4 linked regions of the Struthio camelus genome follow. The main gene of each other region encodes a partner of the protein of the gene in region 4 in a complex. Links are inferred from orthologs where the notes say so. Each region holds a gene or a part of one and is shown on either strand. Other genes may lie near its edges. The genes, in order: EFCAB2, GAS8, IQCD and TCTE1.

Region 1 (7,143 bases), about 5.3 Mb from region 4:
CAGAACTGGTTATTTAGTTTTGTATAAGTGTAAATGCGTGAAACAGGAGCTCAGACTATTTAATATAATTCCTTTCGGATTAAAATTTGTGGCATTAATTGCATTTTAAACATGTGCTAACTAGCAAAATGAATATTGTCTTAGAAAAACTGTAGTATTGATCAAGTACACAGCATTACCATAATGACATAGGAACACTGAGTGTTTTTCCCTTTATGTACTTTCATGTAATTTCTTAAATCCCAGCTGGAGAAAAATATGTCTTGTCTTCTGTCTAGTTCTACTTCAGGCACTACCAGTCTGACATTTTGCTTTCAGGTTCTTGTAACAGCACTACTGAGATCGGAGATATTAAAATTTAGAAAATCTGACATCTTATGTCAAATTATAAGAAAAAAAGTATCTGAGAGCAAATGGAAGAACAGATAGACCGAACTAAGAAGCAAAAGAAGGGTAAGAAATAGAATGATGGCAGGGAAGATACAGACAAATATAAAAAAAGAGATGAGGCAAACAGACTACTGTAATCAAATGAGTATAAAGAAAAATATTAAGCATTGTTGAAAAAATAAAGCAGCACAAATACAGAGCTATAAATTCATACATAAAACATATAGCCACAGATACTATGGGCATGTTCTACTAACACTTCTGTGCATGCAGGATTATATTCACAAGAATAATGTAAATTAGAGGGTAATACTCATGTGAGTAATGTTATGCATAAGAGGTTGCAGGATTTGACCTTTCACCATTTGTGTGTGTGTGTGTGTGTGTGTGTGTATCTGTAAAATATTTAAGCAGGCATTTTAACTTCGAAGAAGACAAAACTTGAAAATAATAGGACCTAAGGGAAACCTTTACCATGAAAGCTGGAGGAACTGCCGTTCTACAAAGAACTGAGGGGAATACCCTAAAGACTAATTATTTGACAATACAGCTAATGTTATTGTTCTGTTTGAACCGTAATACACAAACTGCAACTTTTACTTTATATGTGAAATGCTTGTTGGAAGAAAGCGTGATCAACATGTGAATTTAGATTTGGGGAATCCTAATTAACCCTCTAACTGCTATGCATAAGAAGGCTAATAGCAACTCCAAAATGGGTAGAAGCTACTTACCCTTGTGGGACTCCTTCTGCAGTTTAACGAGACACTGGCTGCTCGTTTGCCTCAAACGTGTTTATAATAAAGAGAAACCTTTATGAGGTAAGAAGCAACTTGTCCGCCTAATAAAAGAGTAGAACTCCCTTGAGTGATTAAAGGTGAGCTACATGTCTTGTCCTTGAAATATCCACGTGATAGAGCTTATTGGCCTCATTTTATGGATAGGAAACTAAAGTCCAGTATGTTGCTTTCCCACGATCCATTGGGAAGTCCAATAGGGCTAGGAATGGAGTTGAGGTGTCAGGGTTGCTTAGGATGGCAGCACGGACTGTTTTCCTATAGAAGGAGGCATTCCTACATTTGATACCTATTAGGAAGTGTTTTACAGGATGTTAAAAAATAAGAAGCAAAAAAAAACCAAAATATGTTTCTTCAGTAATACAGTAATTAAACCTTTTAAAAAGCATCCTCACTTTGAATCTACAAAACCTGCATTAAAACACATTACTCAAGCAACCTAAAAACCACAAGCTTCCTTCTCCAACAGTTTTTGCCTGTGGATTGCCAAAACGGTGCAAAATCTCACGTGTGTATGGGCGCTCAAAATATGTGGAGCCAGACATTGCCAATATCACGGCTATCCTGCTAAAACACCAGATTGCCTCTTCTCAGACGGGTCAGCAGCCTTCTAGACTCTTATCCTAAACTCTCTACCTATCTATCTCTACCAGTACTGTGCTTCAGCTTCATTTGTAAAACTGGAATGATTGAAAAAAAAATGCTTTTGCAAGACTAAACATAGATGGAAAACAATATTCAAGAAGTAATACCGTTAGCAACAGTCCTCGTTGAAACTACACTGGTCTTAGTTCTTACTTTATGCGAGATCTCTATACCGCAAAGTCTGTCTTAGAAATACTTCTAATGAAATCGAGTTACTCATTCAGCACTATCCGCAACAAATGCTTATACAGGATTTCTCTATGGAGGATACTGTTTTTCCTGAATAATATGAAATAATTCATTATTTAGATTAAATATAATATTTAGAATTTGCAAAATATTACTATGTACACCAGTTTATTTACGGAAATGAGGGGTGAGTTTTAAGAGTCGCAGTATTGTGAGTTTTACAGGAAGTACATTTGCTTTTCTTGAAATGATACTTGAATATCCTTGCGGCGGGAGTTACCCTTAGCCTATAAAACATCATTTCTGCTAATGCTTGCTAAAGTAGAACATGCTTGCCTCTAAAAATAAGTCATGATGCTATCAGCAGCCCAGATTACTTTTTTTTGGCAGAGGTCGCCTGACACATCCAAAAATGAATGAAAGAGGAGATGACCAACTGGCTAAAGCAGCTGGTTTAGCCCCCCCACCCCACCCCCGAAGCCACCCCAAGTGGTGACAGCGCGGCCGGGGTGGCATTGCCTGGGGCGGCATCACCCAGGGGTGGCATCTCCTGGTGGGGTGGCATCACCCAGGGGTGGCATCCTCCACCACAGGGAGTGCTGGGGAAGGAGCCCTTCCCCCGGAGGCAGGGGCAGGTAAGAGGCGGTGGTGCTGCACAGGGGGGTGTGTGTGTGTGTCTTTATGTCTCCGCGCATTTGTGTGCCCGTGTGGTGTCTGGCTGCCACCGTGCGTGGGGCGGACGGCGGGCGCAGCGTCTCTCCGTGCCCGTGGGCCCGGCCGGCAGCAGCCCCGCGGCTCCGCAGGCCGCAGCCAGCCACCCGCCGGGCGGCTCCGGCGCAGCCCCAGGCGGCCAAGCGCGCCGGCGGCGGCCCGGCCCGGCCCGGCCCGGCCGAGAGGCTGCGGGCGGCTCCCCTCGCCCCGGCCTGGCCTTACCCTCGCTGCTCCCCTCCTCCTCCGCCATGGCGCCAGCTCTGCGCCGTCGCCATGGCGACGCGGGCCGCCCGTCAGCGCCGCCGGGCCCGCGGCCGGGCCCGGGCTTCGGCTCAGGCCGGTGAGCGGCGGCCGGCCGGGGCCCGGCGGCGCTGCCTGGCGGCGGCGGAGGGGTCCGTGCTGTCGGTAAGCGGCGGCCTGGGCGCGGGGCCCCGCCGCAGCGAGGGCGCTTCGCGGCCCCCGAAATCGCCCTTAACTGAGGCCTCTCGGCGCGCGCCGCGGAAGGCAAATAGAAGGTCACTGGCGGGGCTCGTGGCCGGCGTTGAGCGTTGACCTTACACGCCAGCTCTCCGTGGCGGCCGAGCCCCAAAAGGCGGGTGAAGGGCCACGCCAGCGCGCACCCCGCAGCGGGCAGCGGACGGGGCCTCGCTCGAAGCGGGAGCAGCGCCCGCCGCCCAAACCGCCCGGGACCGCGCGCCGCAGCGAGCGGTAGTCGCTGCGGTACCCCCCCGGCTACCAAGGAGGTAGAAAACGCAATGGGAAAGTACCGCTGGCCTGCGAGGTAGCGTCGCTCGCAGCACGCCGCTGCCCTGGCTGGCAGGCTGTGAAGGAGCCCGAGAGATGTTGCTGTTTCACAATAGTCTATGCTCTTCTAAATTGAGTTTTCCCAGCAGCTGCATAATTTCCCACGTATCTGAGCTTCAGACAGTGAAGGAACATTTCCTTCTGAATACCACCACCCTGAAACCCCTAAAATAGTCTATCCACTAATCCTAAACAGAACTACACGGCTAAAATTCTAGGTACATCTTTTAGCAGACGTGTTTGCAATTCATGGTTCTTCCAACTCTAAAAACAACTACGGAAGTACAGAAAATACAGATAAAATAAGAATTAATTTTCCAATCAGATGCAATCATATATTCATAGAAAAAAAAAAACGCTTTTATGAAATTCCTAGAACTAGAACCTGGTCCTTGCCACCGCGGGTGCCTATTTGCCAGATGTTTAAATTTTGCAAAGCTCAGGTGGATGGTTCCTCCTCACACACCTTTATCCACCTCTCAAAGAAACAGTTAGATGTGCTCAGCACTCATGGAAGCTTGAAATTTCAAGCAACCCATTGAGCAGAGATAGGACTTCCTTGCTCTAAAAAATAACTTGCTTTTTAATAACATTTGCTATTTGCAGGAAATAGAAATCCACAGTGCCTTTCAGCCATTTATTTCTGCATTTTTATTGAATGTAGCTCAGAATAAAGTGGGTATAATAGATACCCAAGAGAACACACAATTACTCTGTTGGGAAAACAGCTGTTTGTGCTCTCTGAGCAAAGCTGATCCCTCTGAATGGTAATCTGTAGACTTGAACGGTTTACGAAAGTAACTAAATATTTCAAAGTACATATTTGACTGCATGAGGAGCATGGATTTGTTTCCTCTCAAATTTATAGAAGAAGTTCTGGTGAGAGCAGCAGCATGGCAGCAAAAGGAAGAGGGCCTAGCAGCAGCACAAGGAAAGGCTGTTGTTATCTTTCAATGTTACAGCGGTCCCATTTCTTATTCTCTCAAGACTTCCACACGCAAAACCTTTGTCCTGACTGGTTGTGTGTCTGTGGCAAATGAGTTACATGTTTGAAACTGAAGAAAAGTGCCAAATACGTTGTTGGACAAGCTCAGAGCTTTCTTAGTTAGTACTTCCCTCCTCTACCCCAATTGTGAAATTTCATGTTCTCCAATATTGTTCTCCGGCATTAGATTTCTTGTGTTATTTTCCAGATTACCTGATTCAACAGAGAACTTTCAGAGCTCTTCAACAAATGCTAAGTTATTCACAGTGTTTACCAAGTTCTAATAAATGCTTTTAAAAATCCTATTTCAGTCTCATTTAGGTTTTCTTGCCAAACCCATACCCAAAATATGAACAACCACCAGTTTTAAAATAGATATAAATATTGCTTATCATGCTAATTTATTAAAAATCTTGTGTTTTTACAGTTGCCTTTGACTTGAAGTGAGTCTTTGCAAATATGAAGAGGTGAGAAAGGAATTTCACTCAGGCCAGTACATTTAACATCTTTCCAGTAATTTCCCCAGGGCCTATGCTTGGTCTACCTCACCAGCCTAAGGGTTTGAACTCGGGTCTTCTCCCCACACTTGTTTTAACTTCCTCGAAGAATGAGGGCAACAGAAGCAGTGTGTAAAAGCTAAAAAGAAAGGGAAAAACTGTCTTTCGCTTCCAGTAGGAAATGCTGCATACTCACAATGTCTGCATCCTATTGTAGCAGCTGAACCAGACCCTCACCAGATGGTACAATAGCTCCGTTAGGACAGCATTATACCAAGTAGATAAAGGTATTGGTCAAATCCTGGATTTTTGTATCAAACTCATTAAGTTTGATACCTTTAACCTCGCTGCAAAATCTTTCGTCACTTACAGCTATCATTAATATCAGCAAACAATATTTTGCCCTATCCTGCCCCTGTTGTTGAGATTGCACTCATGACGAGTACTGTAAATCAAAGTGCTTTGTCTGCATCCCCTGCTCCAGCCTAGAGTTTCCTTTTGCTTTGAATAGCTTGTGGCCAAATGTCAGCACCTGTTTCCCCTTCTTCCCCCACCTCCTGATACACAGGGTTGGGCATCTTGCCTGTCTGCAGGAGCAGAACAAAATACGCAATGAGAAAGCGCTTCAAAATGAAAACTCACTGTTTTAAAATTTCCTGGCAACGCTATCTTGAAAAATGAAGGAAAAAAATGGTAACAGTTATGATGCAGATCAAATATTGGACCTGAACCACATGACTGTTTCCCTTCTAACTTAATGCACAGACATCTCAAACCAAGGGTATGAGTGGGCTGAAACAACTAATCGTGTTTTGGCACAGACAAGTACAAAAGGAAACCCAGAACTACTAATTCAACAGCTTGGAATATCAGCTGCTACGCTACATGCAAGATCTTTAAAGAGCTCCTCTGAAGAGAACATACCCTTTTAAACTTGTAATTTTTCGTTTAAAAATGTCAAAAAATATCTCAGGGAAAAATATGGAAGAAACCAGCTATGTTGATGTCCAGTCTGAATCCACTGAAGCCTAATAGAAAGAAGGCACCCTTACTTCTGCACTTAAGGAATTTCATCACATACATTCCTCTCAAATATCAGGGACCTATCACACATTTTGTATATTTTCTGTACATAGACATTTTGTTTGGCATTAAAAAAGTAGTACTAAAATGGGAAAAGTGATGTAAAAGATAAAGTATTTTCAGGAGGCACAATAATGCCTACCAACCCTCCATGGTTTTGGGATTGCAGCGTTTGGACACATCTTTATTGTGAACACATGTTGAAAATCTTTGCTATGGGACTCCCTCTGTGGATCTGAACAGACCATATAACTGAAGACACATTTGCCCTTCACAGAGAAAGCAAAGTAATAGCTGTGATTCTGTAACTGGAGTCTACCTTTACTCCTCTGCCTAAGTTCTTACAGCTAAAATGTATCTCTGGGTGGCAGTGCCCTTTTCCCCCAATATAACATGAAAGACCCCAGTGCATTTGGCATCTTCATTTCGGTCTTCCTTCGGATCAGCAGCTGATTCAAGTGACTCAGTAACAGCTTCTTCAAAATGGGGTATTAGCAAAACATTATCTGTTCACTCAAATGATATACAGCAACTAGATAAAAAATGAGAAAAAAGACTGTTCTTTACCTATACTATGTCTTCCCTTCAAATTTTGGGTAAATTCCATTGAGAGCAGATACCTCATTCCTTGATGTGTGGGAGGGAAATGTCTTCTCTTCCTGCTTGTTTCCTTTTTTCCTTAGAGTCTGTTGAGCCTATGCTTGGACCAGATGAAGAGAAGCCTCATAGAGTGGGCAGAGCCAGACAGTAGGCATACCCACCACTAATAGCTCTGCCGTTGACCTCTTCAAAACTGCTGGTATTTTCATCAGAATCTTGTCTATCTATTTTGTTTTCTTTTTGAAAAAGAAAGAAGAGCCTTTCGGGTGCAACTCTAACCAACAGAAGAGCAATAAGCACATAAATTTACATGATAGTTCCTTCATTTTCCGTTCAGGTAATAAACAAGGACTTAACCCAAGAAGCCCAAATCCTGGCCTCCTGAATAAGTTATCTGAAGGTATGATTGCATGAGAGATGGGGAGTTCACTGAGGCTGAAAG
Region 2 (6,915 bases), on a different chromosome or scaffold from region 4:
CTGGACAGCCCCAGGAAGTGGCTAAACCTCCCCAGGGTCAGCTACACCCCAAGAGAGTCCTCCTGCTGTCTGGGAACAGCTCCTGCCACCTCACATGGATCCCATGCTGTCTGAGCAGACAGCTGCTTAGTAGATTCTCCATCTGTCCTTATGGCCTTGGAGCTGCTGCCTGGCTCCCTGCTGCAGGAGGGATGACTTCTAAGGAGCTGCCCCAGGAAGCCCGTCTCTCTGTTCTTATGCTGTCTTTTCAACCCACCTAAGTATATCTGTTACTGGCGCATATGGGAAACCCTGTTCTCTTTCCAGGGAGACAGCAGGAAGGTAGTCTGCTGCTCACACGCCAGGGCAGGGAGGGCTCAGTCAAAGGCCTCAGCACTTCCCTCTGCCGCAGACGAGCCTTGCCTGCTGCCCGGGCCTCAGCCCGGGCCTGCTGCCCCTCCCGCCCTGCCAGCGACCTACCAGGTGCATGTTTTTCACCACCACCTCGTTGGCTAGCTCCTGTTCCTTGAGCTCCACTTTCAAGGAGCGTACGTCTTTACGCAGCTCCATCTCCTGAGCCCAGTGATCTTTCTGGGCCCGCTTCATGGACAGGGTGCCCTCTGCCTTCAGCTCAGTGAGGTTTTCCTGGTGTTCGTACAACAGGTGCTTCACCTTCTGCTTGTAAACCTAAAGACAAGCCACAGACCAGGTGAGGGGCTTCAGGAGATGCTGACAGGAATACACCTGAAGCTGGGATACTGACCCAGATGCCCCGGACTGTATCCTGCCCATCTCCTCCTCCTCCACCTCCCTTCCCTCACCTCCTCTCCGAGCTGCCCAGGGCTCACCCGCAGCTCCTGCCCAGCCAAGGTACTCACGACAGGTCCTAGCCTACTCATCCTCCCACCTTGATCTCCACTTGATGTCGCTCCTCCGCCTCTTCCATCTCCCGGTTCTTGTTACGCAGTTCTGCTTTCTTCTCCTCCAGCTGCCGACGGGTGATCTCCCAGAAGGTGTGAATCTTGTCACGCTCCAGCTGGAAATAGTTTCGCTCTTGCCATTTCTGGTCCAGCTCCTCCTGGAGACGCGCAACGTGTTCCTCCAGCTGCAAAGCCAATAGGAAGAACCAAATAGGAGGAAAAGGAGGCCTCGGACAGACAGCTCTCCGGGAAAAAAAAGCTGAACCGAGGCTCTTTTCAAGATATCCATAGCAACCCATGTTGCAACCTTGGTAGGACACAACATAGTGGCTTTTAATGGGACAGAAAAGCACAGGACAGGAGGGGAGGTACCCTGAACAAGAGACATTTGGAGGGGGTGGGGTTTGCACAGGACCTGACAGCAACCCATCAGCCTCTGGGAAGAGTAATAAGACCTTTTCCTGCCATAAGAGGCCAGGACTCAGCTATTCTGTCTCACCGTGGCCAGTAACACCGTTCTGCGATGCCTGAACAACACTAGGTCAGAAGCAGAAAATCTTATCCCAGGCAGTGAGGTCCCTGGGACAGGGCCAACTTCTGCTATGTTTGTAGGATACCACCAAAACACAGCCCAAAGTGGAGCATCTGGAGCAACTGAACATAGGGAAGGAAGTTACATTCTCCACCTCTGCCCTTCCTTAGGGCACCTAAGAGAGCCTCCTGTCCAAGAAGGAATGCGTTTTGTGATGAGTGCCACAGGCTGCAAGCCACGAAGATACAGGTTGGGCAGTCACAGGGCTGAGTACGAGCATGAGTGCAACTGCTTGCAGAGATCAGTCTGCTCCAGTTATGGGTGGAAGCAGTCAGTTAGGGGGGCTTGATGGACAGAGAAACACTGATTGAAGTACAATCTCTGTCTGTCAGGCAGGTTACTGACAGAAGGAAAAATACCAGAAAATAAAGTACTTAAATAACATGGTATAGTCTCATCAGGGGTACCTTTTTCACACCACCAGGACACTCTATCAGGACATTTTCACAGCACTAGGACAATGAAACAAGAGAGCAGGGTGCCACGGTTATGAAGTCAGGCCTAAGACAGTGAAGGCACTGGGCTGGAGAACAGCAGAAGGGAAGATGAGACGAGGTGGCTGATCTTTTCAGGAAAAGTGCTGAGCAGGCTTTGTGAGATCGTACACATTGTCCAGACATGTGTGAGGCAGTGAAATGAACACCAACCGCTTGTTCTGTCTTCTCGACTAACCTCTGCCACCTGTCATCCCTGGAGCCTGAACCAAACATCGAGCACCGGCCTCTGCTAATGTTCTCACAAACTTCAGTGTCCTCTGACCTTGGGGGTAGGCTGGGATATGTGGCAAGCTCTCACCTGCTCCTTGCTCATGTCCTTGGGGGACAAGCCATCCACCACTGCTGGAGCTTTGCCCACTTTCCCTTTTTTGCCACCTTTTTTTTTGGGTGCCTAAGAAAAGAAATCAAAACGCATGAGGTGTGCGTGCGTCTCGGGGGCTGCGAGGAAGCTGTGCTGCTCAGCGCTCTCCTGCTCGAGCTGCTGTCCAGGCCAGTCACGCAGCTTGCCTGCTCTCACGGCGTGGAGAGGTTTAGAAGGGCGACGGGGTCGGGGTCCCGGGGAGCAGCCAGGACACTCGAGACCCTCTGGGACACCTGCAGCTCCACGAGCAGCTTCTGCAGGTTCGCTCCGCAGCAAAGCTTCGGGCCCGGAGGGGCTCCCCTGCCCTCCGCAACTGACGGCCCCGCTACCAGAGCCCACCGGCTCACCACCGCCCGCCCGCGGAGCCCTGGGGGCTGCCGAGCCCCCGCCGCGGCCCGCACCCCCCGCTCCGGGGCTGCCCCAGGCCCGGAGCCGGCCCGGGCCCCGCGGCTCCCCACGCCCGTACCCGAGGGCTCCCTGGGGGCTCCCCCCTGCCTCCCCTCGGCTCCCCCCGCCCATGCCCCGCGGCTCCCGCCGCCCCCGGGGCCGCTTCGCCCCCGGGCTCCGGCCCGGCCCCGGCGCCGGTCCTCACCATGGCTGCGGCCGCCCGCGCCGCCGTCTCCAGGCAACGGGCGGGCAACTCTCGCGAGAGCCGCGCCGCGGGAAGGGGGCGGGGTTGCACCGGGAGACACGCCCCCTAGCAACACGAGGCCCGACCCTAGCAACGGCGGCGGAGCCTCGCAGCCGGCGGCCCCCCCACCCCGGGCCAGGACGCGGGTTCGCGTCCCCCCGCCCCGGCCCCGGCCCCGTGCAGGCCACGGGGCGCCGCTGCCCGGCCGGCACTGCCCCTGCCCGGCCGGCTGCCCCCAGCCCACATACAGGGGCCAACAGGTCCCCTCCGGCCTCCTTTGGAGGGACCGTGCACCCGAGGCCTCACAAACTCATTGCACCGCTTCTATTTGCATCAGATTTTTCCTGCCCCTCGGGAGCAGGAGCTGCCACCATCCCCTGCCGGCTTTCACCTCCGCCACCGTGAGCCCCTCGTGGCAAACCTCAGCGCCCGCCGCTACTCCCGGTGCCCGGCCACCCGGCACGTGGCAGGGCCCGGGCTCCCGGCGAGGACACGGCCTCCAGCGCCCGTCCCTGCCCCAGCCCGGCTGGGTGCCCCTCACGGTCCCTATGCAGGGCCCCTCGGCGTCGCCCCTGGCCATGCACCCGGCCGGGCCGTGGTGCAGGGCTCGCGAGGGCTTGGGTGCGGGGTGGGTGCTGCAGGTGGGTCCCCGGCAGGTTGTCCCCAGCGCGGGGCCCAGGGACCCCTGGCTCTGGGCACGTGCTGCTCCGGCTCTGCTGCCTGCAGCTCTGCATGGCGCATCCTGCCCTGCCCTACTGGGCATCCCGGGACCCCTGGGGACCCCCAGGTCCTCCCTGCACCCTGAGACCCCTCTGCACCCTGGGGTCTGCTCTGCACCCAGGGAACCCTCCGCACCCCCTAGGGCCCCCTCTGTACCCTCAGACCCCCCTGCATCCTCTGGGTCCCTTCTGCATCTCCAGGTCCTCCCTGCACCCTGGGGTCCCCTCTGCACCCTGGGGTCCCCTCTGCATCTCCAGGTCCTCCCTGCACCTTGGGGTCCCCTCTGCACCCTGAGACCCCTCTGCACCCTGGGGTCTGCTCTGCACCCAGGGAACCCTCTGCACCCCCTAGGGCCCCCTCTGTACCCTCAGACCCCTCTGCATCCTCTGGGTCCCTTCTGCATCTCCAGGTCCTCCCTGCACCCTGGGGTCCCCTCTGCACCCTGGGGTCCCCTCTGCATCTCCAGGTCCTCCCTGCACCTTGGGGTCCCTTCTGCATCTCCAGGTCCTCCCTGCACCCTGGGGTCCCCTCTGCATCTCCAGGTCCTCCCTGCACCCTGGGGTCCCCTCTACATCTCCAGGTCCTCCCTGCACCTTGGGGTCCCTTCTGCATCTCCAGGTCCTCCCTGCACCCTGGGGTCCCCTCTACATCTCCAGGTCCTCCCTGCACCTTGGGGTCCCCTCTGCACCCTGAGACCCCTCTGCATCCTCAGGATCCCCTCTGCATCTCCAGGTCATCCCTGCACCCGGGGGTCCCCTCTGCACCCCCCAGGACCTGCTCAGCACCCTAAGACGCACTGCCCCCCCCGCACCCGCCGCGGCTCCCCGCACCCCCGGTCCCCGCGGCGCCCCGGGCAGGCGGGGCCGGTCCCCCCCCGGCCCCCGCCCCCGCACCGCCCCCGGCGCCGCCCCCGCCGCGGCGGGCAGGAGCGTGCGGGCTGCGGGCTGGCACCGGGCCCGCCCCGCCCAGCACCGGCCCCGGCCCCGGCCCCGGCCCGGCCCGGCCCGGCCCATGGAGGCTGCCCGAGCGGCCGGCACCGCAGGTGAGCGGCGGCCGCGGGGGGGGAGGGGGGAAGGAGGGGGAACCGGGCCGGCGCGCCCATCACCGCGGCCTCGGGCCGGGCGCCTCTGCGGGCCGGCAGACGGGACCGAGCCGCACCGGGCCGAACCGGGCTGGGCGCGGCACGGCGGGATCGAAGGGGACACTGGGGGGGGGGGGAGGGGGACACCGGGAGGGTGTGCAAGGGGGTGTGTGCATGGAGGGGTGGGGTGGGTGTGCAAGGGGGGGTGCAGGGGGGTGAGGGTGCAAGGGGGTGTGTGCATGGAGAGGTGGGGGGTGTGCATGGGGTGGGGTGGGGGTGCAAGGGGGGTGTGCAAGGGGGGTGTGCATCGGGGTAGGGTGGGTGTGCAAGGGGGAGTGTGCATGGGGGTGGGGTGGAGGTGCAAGGGGGGTGTGCATCGGGGGGGTGTGCAAGGGGGAGCATGCATGGAAGTCTGTGAAGGATGTTTGCCGGGGGGCGGTGCATGGGGGGGGTGCAAGGAGGTGTGCAGGAGGGGTGTGCATGGGGGCGGTAAGGGGTGTGCAAGGAGAGGTGGGGGGTGTGCATAGGGGTGGGGTGGGGTGGGTGTTCAAGAGGGTGTGCATAAGGGTGAGGGGGTGCAAGGGGGTGTGCAGGAGGGGTGTGCATGGGGGGTAGGGGGTTACTCAAGGGGGGGTGTGCATGGGTGTGGGGGGGTATGTGCAAGGGGTGTGCATGGCAGTGACGGGGTGCAAGGGGGTGTGCAGCAGGGTGTGCGTGGGGGGGTGTGCAAGGAGGGTGCGCATACAATGGGGTGCACAAGAGGGGTGTGCATGGGGATGGGGGCGCACCGGGGTGCGTGTGGGATGTCCGCAAGGGGTGCGTGCATGGGGGGGGGACAGGGGCTCAAAGGGCGTGTGCAAGGTGGGGTGCAGGGTGGGCACAAGCGGGTGCCTGGGTGCGAGCGTGCAGGGGGCCGCTTTAGGGGTGCCCGCGCACACGGGTGTCGCGTCTGTCCACACGAGTGGGTGTCTGTGGGCCGGGGGGGGGCCGGGCCGGGGATGTCTGGGGGGGCAGAGGGGGCGCATGGCAGCGTCCAGGACGCCGGCTCGGGCCGCGCCGCGGGTGCCCGGGGCAGCTGCGTGCACGAGGGGCGCCAGGGGCGGGGGCACGCGCGCGAGGGGCGTCTGCCGGGGCCGCGCGCTGGGTGCTGGGGCACGCGAGGACGGGGTGGTGGTCGTGCCGGGGTCCCCAGCGCCGGCGGGGGGCTGCAGCCGGGGCCCTGCCGGGTGACACGGGCGGTGCGGGGGCGCCTGTGCCCACGTCCCTCCCGGCGCGTGCTCCGCGCGCGGCTGTGCCAGGGCCCCGGCCGTCGGGAGCGGCGCGGGGGGACGGGGCGCCCGGCGAGGCGGGGGGACGGCTGCGGCCGGGCGGCCGGAGCCCAGCGCTGCCTCGCTCTGCGGTTTAACGTGAGTCAGCAGAGCAGGCGGGGGAGCCCTGACGCCGGCCCCGTGTCCCACCTAGGCGCCCGGTGAGCCCCCAGCAGCCGCGGAGGGACGGAGCGCGGCCCGGCCCGGCACGGCCGGCGGCACCCCGCCACCATGCAGGCCCAGGCGAGAGGGGATTTCTCCGGCGCTGAGCAGCAGCCCGGTGCGTGGGTGCTCGGGGCTGCGCCGCCGGAGAGCCGGGCAGGGATGCTGCCGGGGCCGGGGCGGGGGGACGCCGCCGCCTCACCGCCCGGCGCTGGCAGCAGGCTGGGCAGCCGGGCAGCTCTGCCCACCTGTCCGGGCAGGCTGAGCTGAGCCACCTCCGCGGCGGCGGGGACGGGGACGCGCGGGGCTCGCTGCGCAGAGCAGGGCAGGGTGCCCCGAGTCCCCCATGCAAGGGCAGGGCGCCCCATCACATCTGGCGGGGTCGGGACTCGGCGGAGCCGCTGTCGAGGTGGGTGCACGGGGCACCCGGCAGCTCAATGCACCCCATGCGGGCCCCAGGGCTGCCCTGCCAGCAGGAACCGAATCCCCCCCCCCGCCCACCCCGTTTCCCTGCCCCGGCTCCTTTGGGCTGGGTATTTCTGTCCCCTTCCCCACCGCACTGATGCCCTCCTGGGGGCGAGCAGCTGCCCGCGGCCCTGGCACGTGCGGGGCCGAGGGCCGGCCGGCTCCCCCCGTGCCACGGGGTCCCTCCGGGCGGTTGGGCT
Region 3 (7,405 bases), on a different chromosome or scaffold from region 4:
CTCAGCCTGTTTTGCTGTCTTGCTCTGTGTGAACAAGCAGCTGTAACGCTTCATACCAGTGGTGTTCCTTAGTGCGGTGGGTCTCATTTTCTCTGTGCAACCCCAAACTGCTCTGGGCCCTTATGCATGGAGGTCACCACAGAAATAGGAACTATTAACCTGAAAGTGGTGTTTGCGAAGCCCTGTCATGCGCTAGCTAACCTGCATTCAACCCATTAGCTGGCAAGGGATGTGGAAGGAATGCAGGTCAAAGACAATTCTGCATATAACAAGAGTGATGAAATGTTCTCTCTCCCTCCCCCAATAAATGGAAAATAAGCACTAGGAAAGGGACACAATACTGTTATTTTTAATGATGTTCCCAGAGCCTCACCAGAGTGTTTCTAACAGGTTCCTGGGGGCAAGAGGAAGTTCAGGTCACTCCCACCTGCTCACAACACAGATGAAGAGCATGCCCTTGGCAATGACTCATAGCAAGACACGGGAACTAGTAAAAACAAGCGAGAGCTGCAGCAGGGTGCAGCGGTCAGGGATCAGGCAGTCCCGCAGATTCCCTAGGGCCTGTTTTGGTGCCAAAGCTCCATGTTCCCAGCAGTGCATCATGCAAGGCTCAGCACACCACAGCAATGAGTGCAACTGGCTCCTGCCAGGGCATCCTGAGGATGCAGCTCCTCACGCGGTGTCTGTTGTGGTGATACCCCAGGTTGCTGGTGGTGGCAGCCTGTGAAGTGCTCTCAGCCCTCCAAACGCAGTCCACTTCGGCTCAGCAGTATAGCTCGGTGCTGAGAGCACGATGGGAGTTCACGGCTTCAGAGCTGGTGTGCAGAAGAGCAGAAGATGCTCTCAGTGAACAAGTTCTGCCTCCCCGCAGCTGCATTCTGGCTACAGCCAACACAAAGTTAGTGGCAGGGACCTGCAGTCAGGGCCAAGAAGAGAGGGGACTGTCCCTACAGTAACACTGGGCCTGGGTACGATAACCTTGCAGCCTGGCATCTTCGTGTGCCTCTGCTCTTTTGCTGTCGTTTCACAATCAGTTTTAACTGGTGCAATATACTCCCCTCCCTGCTGTTCCTTCCGTTGACCCACATATGGATGGGTGGTAGCACAAGGCAAGGAACTGATTTGGATAAACCCAAATTGCAGAGGATCACAGCTTTCCACGCTGATCAGCAGAGCCTGCTTGCTCACACATGCCGAACCTTGCCTTCTCTTTGCCACAATGGAGAAGGATGAGCCAATTACTGCCTTTCAGTGAGTAGTTAAAAATTCTGCGTCTGAAGAGTGGTTCAAATGGGGAGGTGAAAAGGCAGACGGGGCCAAGCAGGCCTTTGATGTTCAGCTGTTTAGTTACAAGGGATATACAGAGACCTTTGCATCTGAACACAGCTGGACTTGAACAGTGGGGGACAGCATGCCTGGGCTGTACCCACACGCAGAGCCTCTCAGCTCCCCCTTTCCTGATCAGGTGTACCCAGCACAGCTCCCTTGCCCATACAGTTCTGATTCCCGAGCACCTTTGGATGTGCTGGAGCTCTGGGTCCTGATGCAGGCTGGGCCGGTTTGTTTGCAGGCTGAATTGTTTCAGGACCGATCTGAGGTTTTTCTACATCCTGGACAAGAGGAAGGGACGACACACAGTTTTGGTGACATTTCGTACAGCTCCCAAAGCAGCCTGGTTTCATTCCTGGCAGAAAAGCTGCTCCCGGCCTGGAGGTGGTACTGGAAGCTGCAGGACGAGTGAGGCTGCTCTGAGCACATGCCATCACCCCCACTGCAGCCTGCAAGTTTGAGATATCTCTAATTAGCATCCAGAAGGGAGTTGCAGTGCTCCATGGGTTTCCCTAGCTAAGAGGAGGTCTGGACGCGACCCACAGGCTCACCCTTTTCTTCCTCTCTCCTCTGTATGTTCCAAAATGCTTCTGTCCCTCCAGGCAGGCCACGTGCATGGGCACGCGGGACTCTCAGCTGACAATTGCTCACAGCAGTTGATCCTGTCTCCAGGTCATGGCTGTAAGGAAGCTGGAGTTTCCACTTCTCCGAGAGCAGTTGCCCATTTCATATGAGGCAATCTGGACTCATCAGCTTTGGAAAGAAAAAGACATTTTTTTCAAGACTGATTTAATTGCCAAAACGTCTACAGGGGAGTGGCAGCCTTTCACTGGGGTCAGGGTTCGCTCCTGAAATCCTTGGCAGGAAAAGAAGCAGCTCTCTATGTCTCCAGGGCTATTTCTCTGTGCTGCGATGACCGCAGTATGCCATTAGGAAAACATCCAATCAGCGGCACACTATCTTTCTGATTTTATGGCCCTGCTGTGCTAAAGCTGTGGGTCTCCTGCTCAGCCAGCACAGCCACGCTGATTTGGAGCTGACATAATCACAAGTGCCAAATTAGGGCACAAGAGAAGGTGCTTCTGGACAGCTCTGTGCTTTTGCTGGAAGCTGAAGACAGACTGTCCCACACACAGAGTTAGAGCTACCACCCCACCCCACAGCTGGCTGGGTGAACCAACTTAGGGTGTTGTGCTGGTGGCTGCAGCATTTTTGACTTGAACCAGACTTACCATTGCACTGAATCCCAGCCGGACCTTCCTCTGAACCTGTGCTGTGCTGAGCCCAGGCACACTAACCAGGGAGCCGTCCCCTGTTTGTGGCTCTGCACTTGCATGGTCCCAGGCAGAGGGAAGGAAGGGATCATGGCAACATTAGCGCCGTTCCTCCTCCTTTGACTTGGTTGCTGGGAGCAGGAGGCAGCTCAGCCACTGCACGAGCAGTCCCTGACCTGTACGTAAGGAACTGCTTCCCAGGGGTGCTTTCCTCCCATCCATCCTCGCAGGGGCCTGGCTTTGAGAGTCTGGCCCTGGTACTCCTACTCCATCTCCCATCACCAGATCCTAGTTTGCGTTGTGCAGGGAATAATAGCCAAGAGATGCGCTGGACCAGTGCTGGGCACAGTCTCCAGCGCTGGGGATTTATTCACTGGCTCAAACAGGCTAAGCCCAGAAATAAGTAAATGTTCTTGTTGACGTGAGCAGACTCTATGCAGCGCCGCAGCAGAGATGCCAGATGATGCTGTCCGTGGGGTCCCACAGCTGCTGTGCCATTGCTTAGCACTTACTCCTTCCTCTTCAGACAGAAACATGTCACTAGGACTAGCGCTGGCTTTGGGCATTTTGCCAAGTTTCCTCCCGGAAACCCAAGCCTTTCTCTCCCCACATGGATGCCTCCTGCTGATCCCTCAGCAGTGTGAGGACAGGACTTGCACTGAGTTTTGATGGGCCAGTATGTTCTCTACAGACGTCGCTAATTCATGGCTAATCAACTAATTGTGCATGTGTGGCATCTGCATCTTAATCAGCAGAAGCCTTCCAGAGTTTATTAGCATTTTAATAGCACTGAATGCAGTGTGATATAAAATTACTTTTCCTTAACAGTACAGTTAGGGTAATTTCTTGGTTGCTGATGGTCTTACATTTAAAATCCCCACAGACTTTATATTCTGCCCAGTCTAATTTTGCTACATGATCTGAATTTCTGTAACCGTGGCCTGACCGATGCGTACGTGCACTCTGCGCCCCTGAAAGATCTTTTTAGCAGCACCACGTCCCTGCTCTGGAGCGGTCTTTCCATCAGGGCCCAGGCAAAGGGTCCGTTTCCAGTGCGGCGGCGGCAGGTGGCTTGCAGCGGTGATGACCTGCTACTCCTGACGTCTTGTTCCTGAGGTCAGTGGCGGCGCTGAGACGTGGCGATGACGGTTACGCAGGAAACCCTTTGAGAGGGGACGGGGATGTGAGCACGGGCTCGCAAAAGTGCTTCCCCTACTTTGCCTTTGCTCTTTTCTGTGTGCGGAGGGCCTAGGAGACTTGAGTCTGGGGAAGGGGGTTACGAAGTTTACTTTTCGGCTTATTTTTCGAGCTCTTAGGAACACGCTGCCTGGTGTCCCGGGGGCCTGGCGGGAAGGCGAGCTGTGAGCCCGGATCTGCTCGCAGAGGACGATGCCAAATCCTTCAGGGAGACTTGCTTTGCCTGGCCTGTTCCCCGCCTGGTAAGCAGCCGTTACAAAAATAAAGCAAGGGCTGACCAGGCTGCGGAAAACCCCCGTTCCCTTTCCACTGATGCACGTTTCTGCCTCCCTCGCCTCTCTGTGTCCGCAGCACCGCTCTTCAGCGCTCCGCGGGGGCGGCCGCCTTCACGCCCCCAGCCCCAGCCAAGATGGCGGCTCCCCGCGCCGCCGCGGCTCGCTCCCGCGGCCCGGCGCCCTCAGGTGGCCTTCTCATTGGACAGTCGCGCTGCCCATCAAGCGCGGGGGAGAACGCTGAGTGGCTCGAGGTGTTGCGGCCCCTGAAGTGGAGCAGGCGCCATAGGCTGTCGGAGGGGACCTGCCCCTCCCCGCCGCGCTCGGTCGCCTAGCAACCCGAGGACTCCGGCGGCGGCCGGGCGGGCCGGGAGCGGCGGTGGCGGCGGGCCGAGCGGAGCCCGGGTAGCGCCCGCAGGGCCCCGGAGACCCCCCGCGCCGGCCCCGGGCCTCCCCTCCCCGGACCCGACCCCGGGCCTCCCCTCCCCCGTCCCGACCCCCCCCCCCGCCATGATACCCCCCGGGGCCTCTGTGCCCCCGACCCCCAAGGCCCTGCAACACACCCCGGGCCTCTGCCCCCCGGGGTCCTTGGGCCCCAGCACCCCCGGGTCCTGACCCCCCAAGATACACCCTGGCCCTTCACATACCTGGGCCTTCACCCCCCCCCCCCCCCGCCTTCCCTCTTCCCCCTTCTCCCTGCCAAGATACACCCTGGTCATCTCTCCCCTCAGGCCTGGACCCCCAACAGGCCTGGACCCACACTTGGGGGACCCCTGGCACCCCACTCCCACAACCCACGCACAGGGGATTCCCCCCCCCCCCCCAAGCTCCCTGAATCTCCCCTTGACCCATGCCCGGGGGATCCCTGGGATCCCCTGGCACTCGTGCCCCCATACACACAGCCAGAGGACCCTTGACTCTCTGTCACCCTCCCACATGCGGCTGCCCTCTGCCCCCTCACTGTCCCTTCCCCTGGCCCTTGTCCTTGCCAGCACAGCCCCTCCAGGCGGGGATCAGCTCTTGCACTTCCTCCCTCCAGCAGCACCAGGCCTGAACTGATGAAGGTGCATGTTTCCCACCAGGAAACCTGCCCTTCCTTCTGAGGTGGCCCTAGAGACCTGCAAGCCCCCCCCCCCCCCCCCCATGCACCTGTAAACATTGTAGAGCTGCAATCGGTGATCTCCATCTCACCTGCTACTTAGAAGGAGCTGGGAGCTTTCTCCTCACCATCCTTCAAAGTAGGGAGGTTATTAGTTTTCTTCCTTTCCCATGGGCGTTCTGGTACATTTGGACGTTTAACAGCATCTCTGGGATAGAGATCACTTCTAATGTAAAACCCCAATGCCCTTATTGTGTGCCTAGACCTAGGGACAACTAGAGTGTAATCTGAAACTCCCACGTTTTCCCAAATAATGTTGTTTCTCTAATGCTCTCACCAAACTTTATTTTAAAGATAAAATCTGAGGAAGAAGAATTTGCCACAGAAGCAGCAGAGGGACCTTGATGTACTTCGACTGAGTCATTCTCTGTGGTCTTACTCTTTGTGTCCCTTCTAGACCTCAGAAGACTCAGCTCAGAATTATTTAACCGAAGCCATGGCAACAGGGAATCCAACTGTGCTCCAAGGATCATCTCGGGACACGAAGCAAAGAAATAAGCCCTTGATAAAAGGCGTTCAAACTCCAAATAAGGAAGTGATCGGATTAGATGCCAAGAAGATGTTAGATCGAAGTCGGTCAAAACTTAATACTCGTGAGACCCAAAGAATCATATCTGTCTTGGATGAGACGATTGTCAAGCTGGAGCTGAGCAGTTTGATCCCTTGTATTATTGACTCTCTGGATAGGTTTGCTGATATGCTGGGCCCTGCGATCACAAATGACCTGATTGAGCACCAAAAGCTTTCAAGCAAAGTGGAGGACCTACTCTCCAGCTTTCAAGAAGAGGACACGTCAAGAGCAGAGGAACAGAGGGACTGTCTTTGCTTGCTAGAGCAACATCTGAAAAGTTCTGTTAGAAATATTCTGAGACGCTTGCTCGCCAACCCTTCACTTTGTCAGGCTCTGAAATATGAAGTCTGTGCAAAGCAGTCATCAGCTGAAGCGTTTATCAAGGCCTTTAGGGAGTTCAGGAATTTCATGCATGAGAGACTGCTGACTAGTCTCTTAGAAGAGAAAGAAAAGATTCAGTTCATGGAAAACATCTCCCGCCGGATTACAAAAAACACTGAAACACTCACAGCTTTAAAGGCAGAACTGGCAGCAACAACCCAGTCTCGAGATGAAAAGGTATGATATTGTGGGAATATGCTTTCTAACAAAGGGTCAATGAGGCAAAATTTTGGTAAACTAGGAAATAATCCTTTTCTTGCAGACCCTAGACAGGAAGTTCCAAAAATGGTTTGTAAACCAGATCCTAAAGTAAAATACACTTACTTCATTTCAAAATATAATTTAAAAGGCTTATTGCATGCTTGATTTTTAAACTTAAATTTCACATGTTTTTATCGTCTTCTCACTGGCAGTTTAAATCACCTTGGAAATCACCGAGTTTAAAAAGGAGATGTAGAACAGGCACAAATTGCTGCAATAGCATTTTGTCATTAATGCAGTAGTATTAAAATGCATTTTTAATATCTACTCAGCCTTCACTCTTGCTTAAAAGCAACATTTCTATGACTTCCAACTCTATAATACTAGCAACCTTAGAACATTTATAATTAATGTGTGATAACATATGTTTATTTTTTGCAAAGAAAGCAACAGAGGTAAACTAATGGACATGCCCAAGACCTTGGGCTGAGCCAGAATTTGAGCCCTGAACTCTTGACAAGCAATTCCTTGTTTTATATGTATGCTTTTTTTTCCCCCTCCTTTCAGCAAGAGGGGTCAGAGAGGAAAGTTCTGCACTGCACTGAATGGTGCTAATGCAGACAAGGGCCTGAATTCTCTCCACTCCCTGGAGATCTGTGAATTGAGACACTTGAGATTGTTATGTGCCATTTGGCAACTTGTCCAGTGCATAATGAATAAACCTGTTTTACTGGTCCCAGATGAGTATTTCTTTTGCAGGCAGCCCACTGAGCTGAGTCCCCAGGACTGTCCCTCTGAGCCTAATGCAAACTTGATGAAGCCAGTGGGCTGTTTCCAGTGGCTCTGACTTTGGATCCTGTTCAGATGGGGCAGCACCTGTGGAAGCTTCCTCAAATTACAGTGCTGGTGGGTCTCAGCATGGCTCATTCAATCTCTGACCTTATTCACAGGTTCACGGAGGAACTGTGAGAGGTTTCCAAAGCATCTTGGAAACTAACTAACTCTGTTCCCTTTGCTAGCT
Region 4 (7,918 bases):
GTAACAGTCCTGGTGGGTGAAGTTAAAGAGGTTCCACTCAAAGTTCATGCCACAGTCCTTCACACCATAAGTAAGAATAAGCTCTTCAAGATGAGGGAGAGCAGTAATGAGGACTCCCAGGTCATAGTGATGCATGGAGGCTTCACTGAGCTCAAAGTCACTCCCGGAATCGGAGAAGTCATCTTCCTCCTCCTTTTGATCCAGCTTCACTGGGGGAAGGAACTGATCAACCTCCAGTTTCCGCACATACTCTTTGCAGAGTGGGATGAGCTCCAGGACCTGGTTGGGGTCCGTGATGTTAGGGATGAAACATTTCAGGATATTCTCCAGGTGACGTTCGAAGAACATCCGCTTCCAGCTATCTCCATAGTTGGAGACATCGCACACTTGCCAGCGCTGAGTGCAGCACCTCTTCCAGTAGTCCTCATCACGTATTAGATTGGCAGTCACAGTTAGTGGAAGTCCAGTGGAGAGCTTGTCCAGCACCTTCCTTTGGTGCTCAGGCAGAAGACAGTCCATAATAGGGTTATCTGGAGGGGATGGAGAGGAGGAGAGGTTGCTCTGGGCTGTAGGCCCATGGCACCTGTAGGCCAAGGTTCTGTCCAGACCCTCAGCTGTGTGTTCATGCCCTCCCCTCTACTGATACTGGCTCCCTTCTCAGTTACCTTTAGTCGGTGCAGGGAACTAAGCTGGCAGAAAATGACTCATTTTTGTGTAGGATTTCTATCTTTTACTGTAAAATATCACCGTAATTGAATTTACTCTCATAATATTTGGAGACCGCATCAGGAACTTAGCTCCTGTCTCTGCAACCACCAAAGTTGGGTACCACAAACAAGGTCCTGACTAAAGTTATTGACCTGTAGTTGGGAATTTGCATATAGTTTTGAATAGATCTTGAAAGGATCTGCTTTCCAGCACTCTAAATCCAGATCATCAGTTTAACTTTGGTTTTAATTCAGTTTATGTTCAGAGAAAGACTGCTGCCACTAACACAACTATTCTAGGCTTACAGTAATGGCAGAATTTGACTTGTCATTTGCTGAACTTTTCCCCTGTGGATTCTAACCGTATTAAAGGATGATATTTGAGAAGTGAACTGTCTGTTTGCTTTTCATACAAGTCCTCGTCTTTTCATCTTAACTCAGGTGTCTGTCTTACTCCAAACTGATTCCTGATTCCTTCCCACTAAGACGCACTTTATCTTAGCCTTCAGATCCACCCTATTTAAATAAGGGTTCTCCTTTCCCAGGAGCTTTCTCTCCTCAGTCCCTTGCTTTGAGTGTCAGCTGACTTTTCTCTGGTGGAAGTTCTTTGTGGTAAGAGATACCAGAGAAAAGCAATGTGTATATACACCATGAATACTTGGTGACAGGTACATGTATGTGTTGAATCACAGACCTTATCAGTGGAGAGGCCTGTCTGCACATGGGAAGTCAAATTCTTAGACACAAAGTGGGGTTAGTCTTATATTTTTTCTCTCTCTGGGGCATTTTCTTCCTAAGGACGTGCAGAGTTTTACCAGAGGCTCTTCCCGGAGTCTCTTCTCCAATAAGAGAGCTGGCACTGCAGTGACCTTCTCTGCAAAGGCTCACAATGCAAGCAGAGGTGAGACACATGTTGGCATAAGTAGACTAGCTTCAGTCTGGCTCACTCAGGCAACAGCAGTGGGCAAGATGCAGCTGCACAGGTCAGACGCTGGTATGAGGGACTCCAAGAGACTGAGCACACTTACATGCATGCACTGTCGGTCCAATCCGTTTGGCATCAGGCTGACTGATCAAACTGAAAGGACTTGGAAGGTCTCCCAGCTGGGACCTAAGGCAGCGCTGAGCTTCTCTATACTGTATTATAGTTCCAGTGTGAACATACCCTTATACCTATCTTTGGTTTTTGCTACAACTCCACTAAGTCAGCCAAAAACACAGGTAGGTCCTGTCTTTCCTCCTCCCACTCGCTTCCCAGATGAGACACCCTTTCTATGTTTTTCTATGTGTTTCATCAGTCCACCTGCCTCAAAAGCACTTTCCCTGCCTGGGGACATGACTTATCACATCACCACCAAAAGCTGTGGAGAAGGCCTGAAACTGTGAGTACAATATGAATTCTGAGATGAGGGTTCTTTGGAGCAGGGAGTATTTCTACATCTCTTTGTACAGCACTCAGCACAATGGGAGCTCTATCCTTGAGTACTACCATAATGTATGTATGAATCAAGAGAAGGAAATAGCAGCTTCACAGTCCTGGTCACAGTTGAGGTAGTGAGTCCAGCAGACCATGGAAGGAAGAAGAAATGATAGGACAAGGTTAGGGCAGAGTCACATCCTGGATAGCAGCCCAGAGGACTAATGTCCTCTGGAGTGTCCCTGGAGTGTGCAAGTACATGCTTAGCAACTAAATAGCTTGCTTAACTAGCTGCTTGAGGAGATGTTTTTCCCCATCTGTTTCTCTGGCAGGGCTGGGTACCACCCTCTGTGACTTTCAGATGCATCTGCCTGCTCTGTTGACCCCCTGCTTCCCAAAAGAGATGCTGTCTCTCTGTGTGTCCCAGGCGAGAGGCACTCCTGCTTACTTTCAAAATTTCGAATGATGTGCTGGAGGCAGAGCTCGGTGAGCTGTGGGACAATGACGAGGGACCACTCAGGATCCTCAGCAATGATGCGCTGTATACAGGATGAATCAGCAGCGAAGCTGGCCTGGGATGGGAATGTGGGAAGGGCTGTGCTCACATCACCAGCCACTGGCTCCTGCATCCTGCTCAGGTCCCACTTCTCCTTCAGGAGAAGCTGGAGAAAAATTGCTTGAGATCAGAAGTCACCACCACGTTTTCCAACTGGACTGCCTGGAACAGAAAAAGATAATTTTAGTAAAAGGCCAAGCAATAAGAATACTTTGCTCACATTACTCTTTTGTGATGCACTTTTCCCCTGCCCTTTGCCTGCTTTTGCCTTTTCTTGGACTGGGAGCACTGCAGCACAGCGACTATTATTTAGCCTTATCTTTGTATAGTGCCCAGCACAAAGACATCTCTAGGTGCTACATGTAATAAACAGATAATAATGTGGTGTTAATTCAAAGTGCTATTGAAGAGGGAGGACAGGAAAGGGTTGCTTACTGTCTTTTCCAATAAAAGAAATAAGGGCCTTAAGTGAAGGTGGCAGGAGCTGGGTTCAAAACACAGAAAAGAGATGGTTCTTCACACCATCTGTAGTTACGCTGGGGAGTTTCTTGCCACAGGATATTGTGGATGTTGAAAATCTGTGGCGGTTTCAGTAGAGACTGGACAAGTTCATGGAAGATAAACCCCTTTGAGAATGATTAAACACACAGAAACTACATCTGGCTCGGTATGAGTTGAAAATGGTCGGAGGTGGGGAGAATGCTGGAGGGAAGCAACATGTATACTTGCATCTGGTCACTGTGAGAAATGGGATACTGGGCCAGATAATCCACATTTGTTCCAATATGCCTGCTCTTATGACTCTGTAAAGATAGATGCTTACTATACATATATTCATTTTTTTCCGCCTTTCACAATTAATTACCAGCTGAACTCCTTCCAAACATCCATTAACTGATGAGGTGGGTCAGTTCTATTCAGACCCACATTGAAGATAAGCAGATATGAGCTAAAAGAACCAGGCTAGAGCAGAAGGCAGGATGCCCAAGTCCTGTTAGCTCTGCAAAGCTTTCCCAGACTAGATCTTCCCTTTTGCTATTTCCTACCCCTACCTCAGGACCAGCACTCTCAGCCTTCATTATCGGACATGTATGATTATTGTCTGGAAGTCCTAATGGTTCCCTCACCAACCCCACCAGTCTGAAAGAGTCAGAGGAGACACCAGGAAGCAGAAGGCTCTTCTTCTGCCTTCTGGGTCCTGGATTCGACAGCGTTGCCCAGGCTTGGCAAGCCTGTCGCAAGGTGCCCAGACCTATGCTAAATATGTATTGGGGGTAACTGGACATAACAGGGCTACAGTTTAGTGGGAGAGGAAAGAGGCTCATAAGAACAAGAGAGTCATTATGAGGAACTGAATTTCAAGGGAGCTGCTTGAAAGGGAGAAGGATAGTTAGAGATTCCAGGGCATGTGAAAACAGCACCAGGCTGTTGAAACTGAATGACTGTAAAGGCCCTGTTAACTGGAGAGTTTGCAAGCGTAGGGGAAATTCTTCTTGAGTCTAGTTATGCTCTAGCTGAGATTGCATTGCTGGCAGTGCCAGAGGCAAGGGCAGCTTCCTACAAGACCAAGGGGAAGCCTTGGGGCAGAGGGGGCCCTGCACCATGATAGAGTCGAAGGATCCTGTGACAACATCCTACACAGAGGCTGATAGCCATGTAGTGTGTTGTGCCACAATATCCCTCAGATGAACAGTGCTTTGATTGCAAACAGCTCCTCCTTTACGGAGGGCAAGAGCCAGATGGTGCTCCCCAGATCAAATGCCTCATTTTCTTCCCTTGCATGAGGCTGCTTCCTTTTCCCCTGAAGTCCCAGTTTGTGCTGCCTCAGTCGGCACAAGCCCCTCTTTTCCCGAAAGCTTTGTAGTAGGCTTTGCTAGCTTTCCTCCCTTTGCTCCTTCCCCCTCCAAAAGACATCCGATGAAAGGGCCTACAAAGGAATGTGCAAAAGATCTGTGACATGCCAGGAACTAGAAGAGCAAAGCAAAATGATTCATATCTACTGCAGCAAGTGTGTCAGCAAAGGCTTCTTTAAATGCATTTTCAGCAGATCCTAGAAAAGAATGATCTTTTCAGAATGAGAGTCAGGAAATAAGGATGAGGGAGATGGCAGTGGCAGGGGTTCCTCCATCACAAAGCAGGAGGATGAAGGACGCTGAGGCAGGCAGGTTATGTCTCCCATTAGGCTTTGGTGAAAGGATGACAAAGGCAAAGGCCATAGAAAAAGGGGCTTTGTTCTGAAGAAGGAGAGATGGGGAAGGGGAGGGAATGGATGCAATGTGACTGGTCCAAAATGAGAAGTGGCAACCATGTGTTTGAAGAGCTCCCTGCCCCCAAAGGAAGGTGCTGTGACGGCAAGCTACCACTGAGGGGAAAGAGAACACAACACATTGACCCAGCTAAAAACCCAGCTCTTAATGCTGGCCGTCTTTAGTGGAAAGGGAAAGCACAGCCAGACGGCGGTGAGGTGGCACTGAAAGAGGAGAGGTGCCTGGGAAAAATGTTTTCTTCTTGCTCAGTCCTTCATCCTATTCAAAAAGCATCTGTGTAACTGTGCCCCCCAGGCCAGTCCCAGCTGACTGGGGCTTCTGATGACCTTTCTGACCTTCTGGGAGCAATCTTTAAAGGCCAGCTGTTAGGAAAAGCTAGTGCAGCATTGATGGCCTAGGATTATTTCATGGCTGTATTCCAGCAAATAATCTGATTGCCAGTTTACTGATGGTAGATCGATTTTTAGAAAGTAACCCACAGCGCATGCAAGACTGCCAGATGGCCTCCTGCAGGCCAAGCGGGAGACACAACCCCTGTCCTCAGGCAGAGCAGAAACCCAGCTCTAGAAATCAGTACGACCCCTCGGTACATTGGATGAAATCCATTGAGTGATGGTTGCCTGGTGTGTGAGGTTACCTAGATGAGGACTAATCTCAATGTAAGCTGATCCCAAATGTGAGGCTGCAGAATACAGCTTGGTGTTTGTGGCCCATCTGCTGAGGACTTTTGTCTGTACCTGAGCTCTACACCAAGTCAGCTCCTCTGACTCTGCCGTTCCCACTCAGCATTCAGCGTGCACACGAATCTAGCAAGAGGAAGGCTGTTAGTGTGTAATAACTAGCCCACAAGGTGTCTGAATCAACCTCAAGACTGAGGTGTTGGGGAGGGCTGAGTCTGACACTGAGTCATTGATCACACTGAATCAATTCACACCACCCTCAGCACAGTAGCCACTCACCACTGCTTGCCTTCATCACCTTGGTTTTCTGTGAGCCTCTGTGGGTCTGGATGTCCAAATATGCAGTCTGGGGGAAGGGTTGCTTTCACTATTGCATCCCCTCTGTCTTGGCTTTAGGAACTTCATAAAGCCAGAGCTAACATGCCAAGCCAGTTCCCATGGCTGGATTTGCTGAGCATATATTTAAACACTAGAGAAGTGTTGTAATTCACTGACTATCAGTAAGCCAAGTCAACAGCAATAACACATGCTCCTTCCCACCCACTCTAAAACTTAAGTCACCTATCCTGCAAAGGCTTTATTAAATAATATACAATGAGTGGGGACATGTAGTAAATTCCTAGTTTATATAATTTAACATACGGATTAGGCTGAAAGGTAAATATACTGAAATTTCTAAAAAAAAAATCACATTTCCTTTCCCCAGAAGAAGCAAATCTTTCAGGATTCCATTCACGTAGCCAACTTACATTGCTACCTAACATTTTGGTTCTTCAGTCCCACCTGTTTTGATCTGCAAATAGGACATCTGCTCAAACAGAAAAGTTTTCTGCTTTTTTGAACGACACCAAAGCCCAGACAGACCACTAAGAAGAGTCATGTGGAAATTGGTGACATTTGGCTGATGCCCCCTACCAGAATATGTTGAGCCAAGAAACTGAATGACTGTAAAGGCCCTGCTAACTGGAGAGTTTGTAAATGTAGGGGAAATTCTTCTTGAGTATGGTTGTGCTCTAGCTGAGATTGCATTCACGTTGAAGCTTGGTCTACCCGGACACTGAGAAAAGTTCTCACGTCCTTGCTGCAGCATTCTGGAAATGCTAGGTGAACTTCAGGTGTCTTTGCCATTGTGTTGTTACGTCTACTCTGCATAGGCTAGCTGAGACATCAGCAAAAGAGCCTGAATACAGGCTAGCACTGCTACTCCTGCTACCACCAGCAGTGACATGTGATGCTCCCTTTCGCTTACGTAGAAAGGCTGATGCTAAGTTTGCATTAGGAAAGCATACTGCAGACTCTTAAAGAGCCTGAGTCTCTGGAACGGGCCTTAAGTAAAGAAAACAATGCATGCCAGATGAGGGATCCATTTAGTTTCAAATAGCCTGGAAATGAGCAGCGATCAGGCAGAACTAGGTTAGCCAGCCATTTGGGAATACGTTAGTGTTGTCACTGCAATATGACAGGTGCCAAGGGGCAACAATCTGGTCCTGGATAACTGTCAACATATCAGACACCCTGTCCAGGTAAGAACCTTTCTGAAACATGAAAACAGTTGAGGAACTGAGCATTGCCCGTTGTAGCCCTTGCTAGTCTGCACAGCTGGCCACATCATGCCAACCCCTGGAGATCCAGAAAGGAGGTATTTGCTGAGAGGTAAGGAAAACATCTGGCTGCTTCCAAAAGCTCAACCCTCAGTTAAAGGTACTAGTCCAGCTCTCTGAAATGCCTGCTGAGAGGAACCTTATATTCTCTCCTCCCAGCAAGGCTCCTCTGCAGAATCCCAAAGAGAGAAAAAACCTCACTAGATTGGTCAGTTTATCAATAACAGTTATGAAGAACAGTGTTTTTCTCCAGTTCTGCCTCTCCAACTAACTGTGAACTGTAATGGGGTGTCCACAGAGGAAACAAGATTATTGAGACAAGTCAGAGGATGCTGGGAGCCTGCGAAAACGCTGTGAACAGAGCCAAGATCCAAAATCATAGGCCTGTGCTTTTAATAAGCAGAGCATGTTCCTTCCTTCTCCCCACTGATCCCCTTCCAGAGCGGCTCCTTACCCTGTGAGTGTCAGGGTCCCTAATGGCAAAAGGCGTTTCTCTGCCGAGGTCTGGTCTCGCTTCTCTCCTCTCCCAGACCCGCGGAGAGCAGTACCAGTGTGCGGCGCAGGCAGGCACCGCGCCGGAGGGCACCCAGGGTAATAATCAGCTCCCGCAGGGAAAGAAAAAAAAATTAAAGTTAGAGGCTTGAATTCAGATCTTGGCAAATAAGTGAAGGCAGATCTAATCTTCAAATG

What was found.
Region 1: TCTE1 (region 4) and EFCAB2 share a complex: the UniProt entries of both Homo sapiens proteins name them as parts of the nexin-dynein regulatory complex. The link is inferred for Struthio camelus from reciprocal best matches to the Homo sapiens genes DRC5 and DRC8.
Region 2: TCTE1 (region 4) and GAS8 share a complex: the UniProt entries of both Homo sapiens proteins name them as parts of the nexin-dynein regulatory complex. The link is inferred for Struthio camelus from reciprocal best matches to the Homo sapiens genes DRC5 and DRC4.
Region 3: TCTE1 (region 4) and IQCD share a complex: the UniProt entries of both Homo sapiens proteins name them as parts of the nexin-dynein regulatory complex. The link is inferred for Struthio camelus from reciprocal best matches to the Homo sapiens genes DRC5 and DRC10.

Annotation. Positions count from the first base shown.
Region 1 is NC_090944.1:99,242,648-99,249,790, reverse strand, and holds the start of EFCAB2 (dynein regulatory complex protein 8), read right to left. Parts: upstream 3,018-7,143; 5' UTR 2,983-3,017; coding exon 2,955-2,982; intron 1-2,954. UniProt on the Homo sapiens protein: Component of the nexin-dynein regulatory complex (N-DRC), a key regulator of ciliary/flagellar motility which maintains the alignment and integrity of the distal axoneme and regulates microtubule sliding in motile axonemes.
Region 2 is NC_090951.1:1,755,085-1,761,999, forward strand, and holds the start of GAS8 (dynein regulatory complex subunit 4), read right to left. Parts: upstream 3,008-6,915; 5' UTR 2,945-3,007; coding exon 2,942-2,944; intron 2,380-2,941; coding exon 2,287-2,379; intron 1,085-2,286; coding exon 887-1,084; intron 667-886; coding exon 460-666; intron 1-459. Other genes in the region: DBNDD1 (dysbindin domain-containing protein 1), read left to right, coding at 6,320-6,368. UniProt on the Homo sapiens protein: Component of the nexin-dynein regulatory complex (N-DRC), a key regulator of ciliary/flagellar motility which maintains the alignment and integrity of the distal axoneme and regulates microtubule sliding in motile axonemes.
Region 3 is NC_090958.1:4,675,162-4,682,566, reverse strand, and holds the start of IQCD (dynein regulatory complex protein 10), read left to right. Parts: upstream 1-4,401; 5' UTR 4,402-4,477; intron 4,478-4,818; exon of another isoform or gene 4,819-5,318; intron 5,319-5,525; 5' UTR 5,526-5,667; coding exon 5,668-6,360; intron 6,361-7,405. UniProt on the Homo sapiens protein: Component of the nexin-dynein regulatory complex (N-DRC), a key regulator of ciliary/flagellar motility which maintains the alignment and integrity of the distal axoneme and regulates microtubule sliding in motile axonemes.
Region 4 is NC_090944.1:104,556,689-104,564,606, forward strand, and holds the start of TCTE1 (dynein regulatory complex subunit 5), read right to left. Parts: upstream 3,018-7,918; 5' UTR 2,754-3,017; coding exon 2,573-2,753; intron 531-2,572; coding exon 1-530. UniProt on the Homo sapiens protein: Component of the nexin-dynein regulatory complex (N-DRC) a key regulator of ciliary/flagellar motility which maintains the alignment and integrity of the distal axoneme and regulates microtubule sliding in motile axonemes.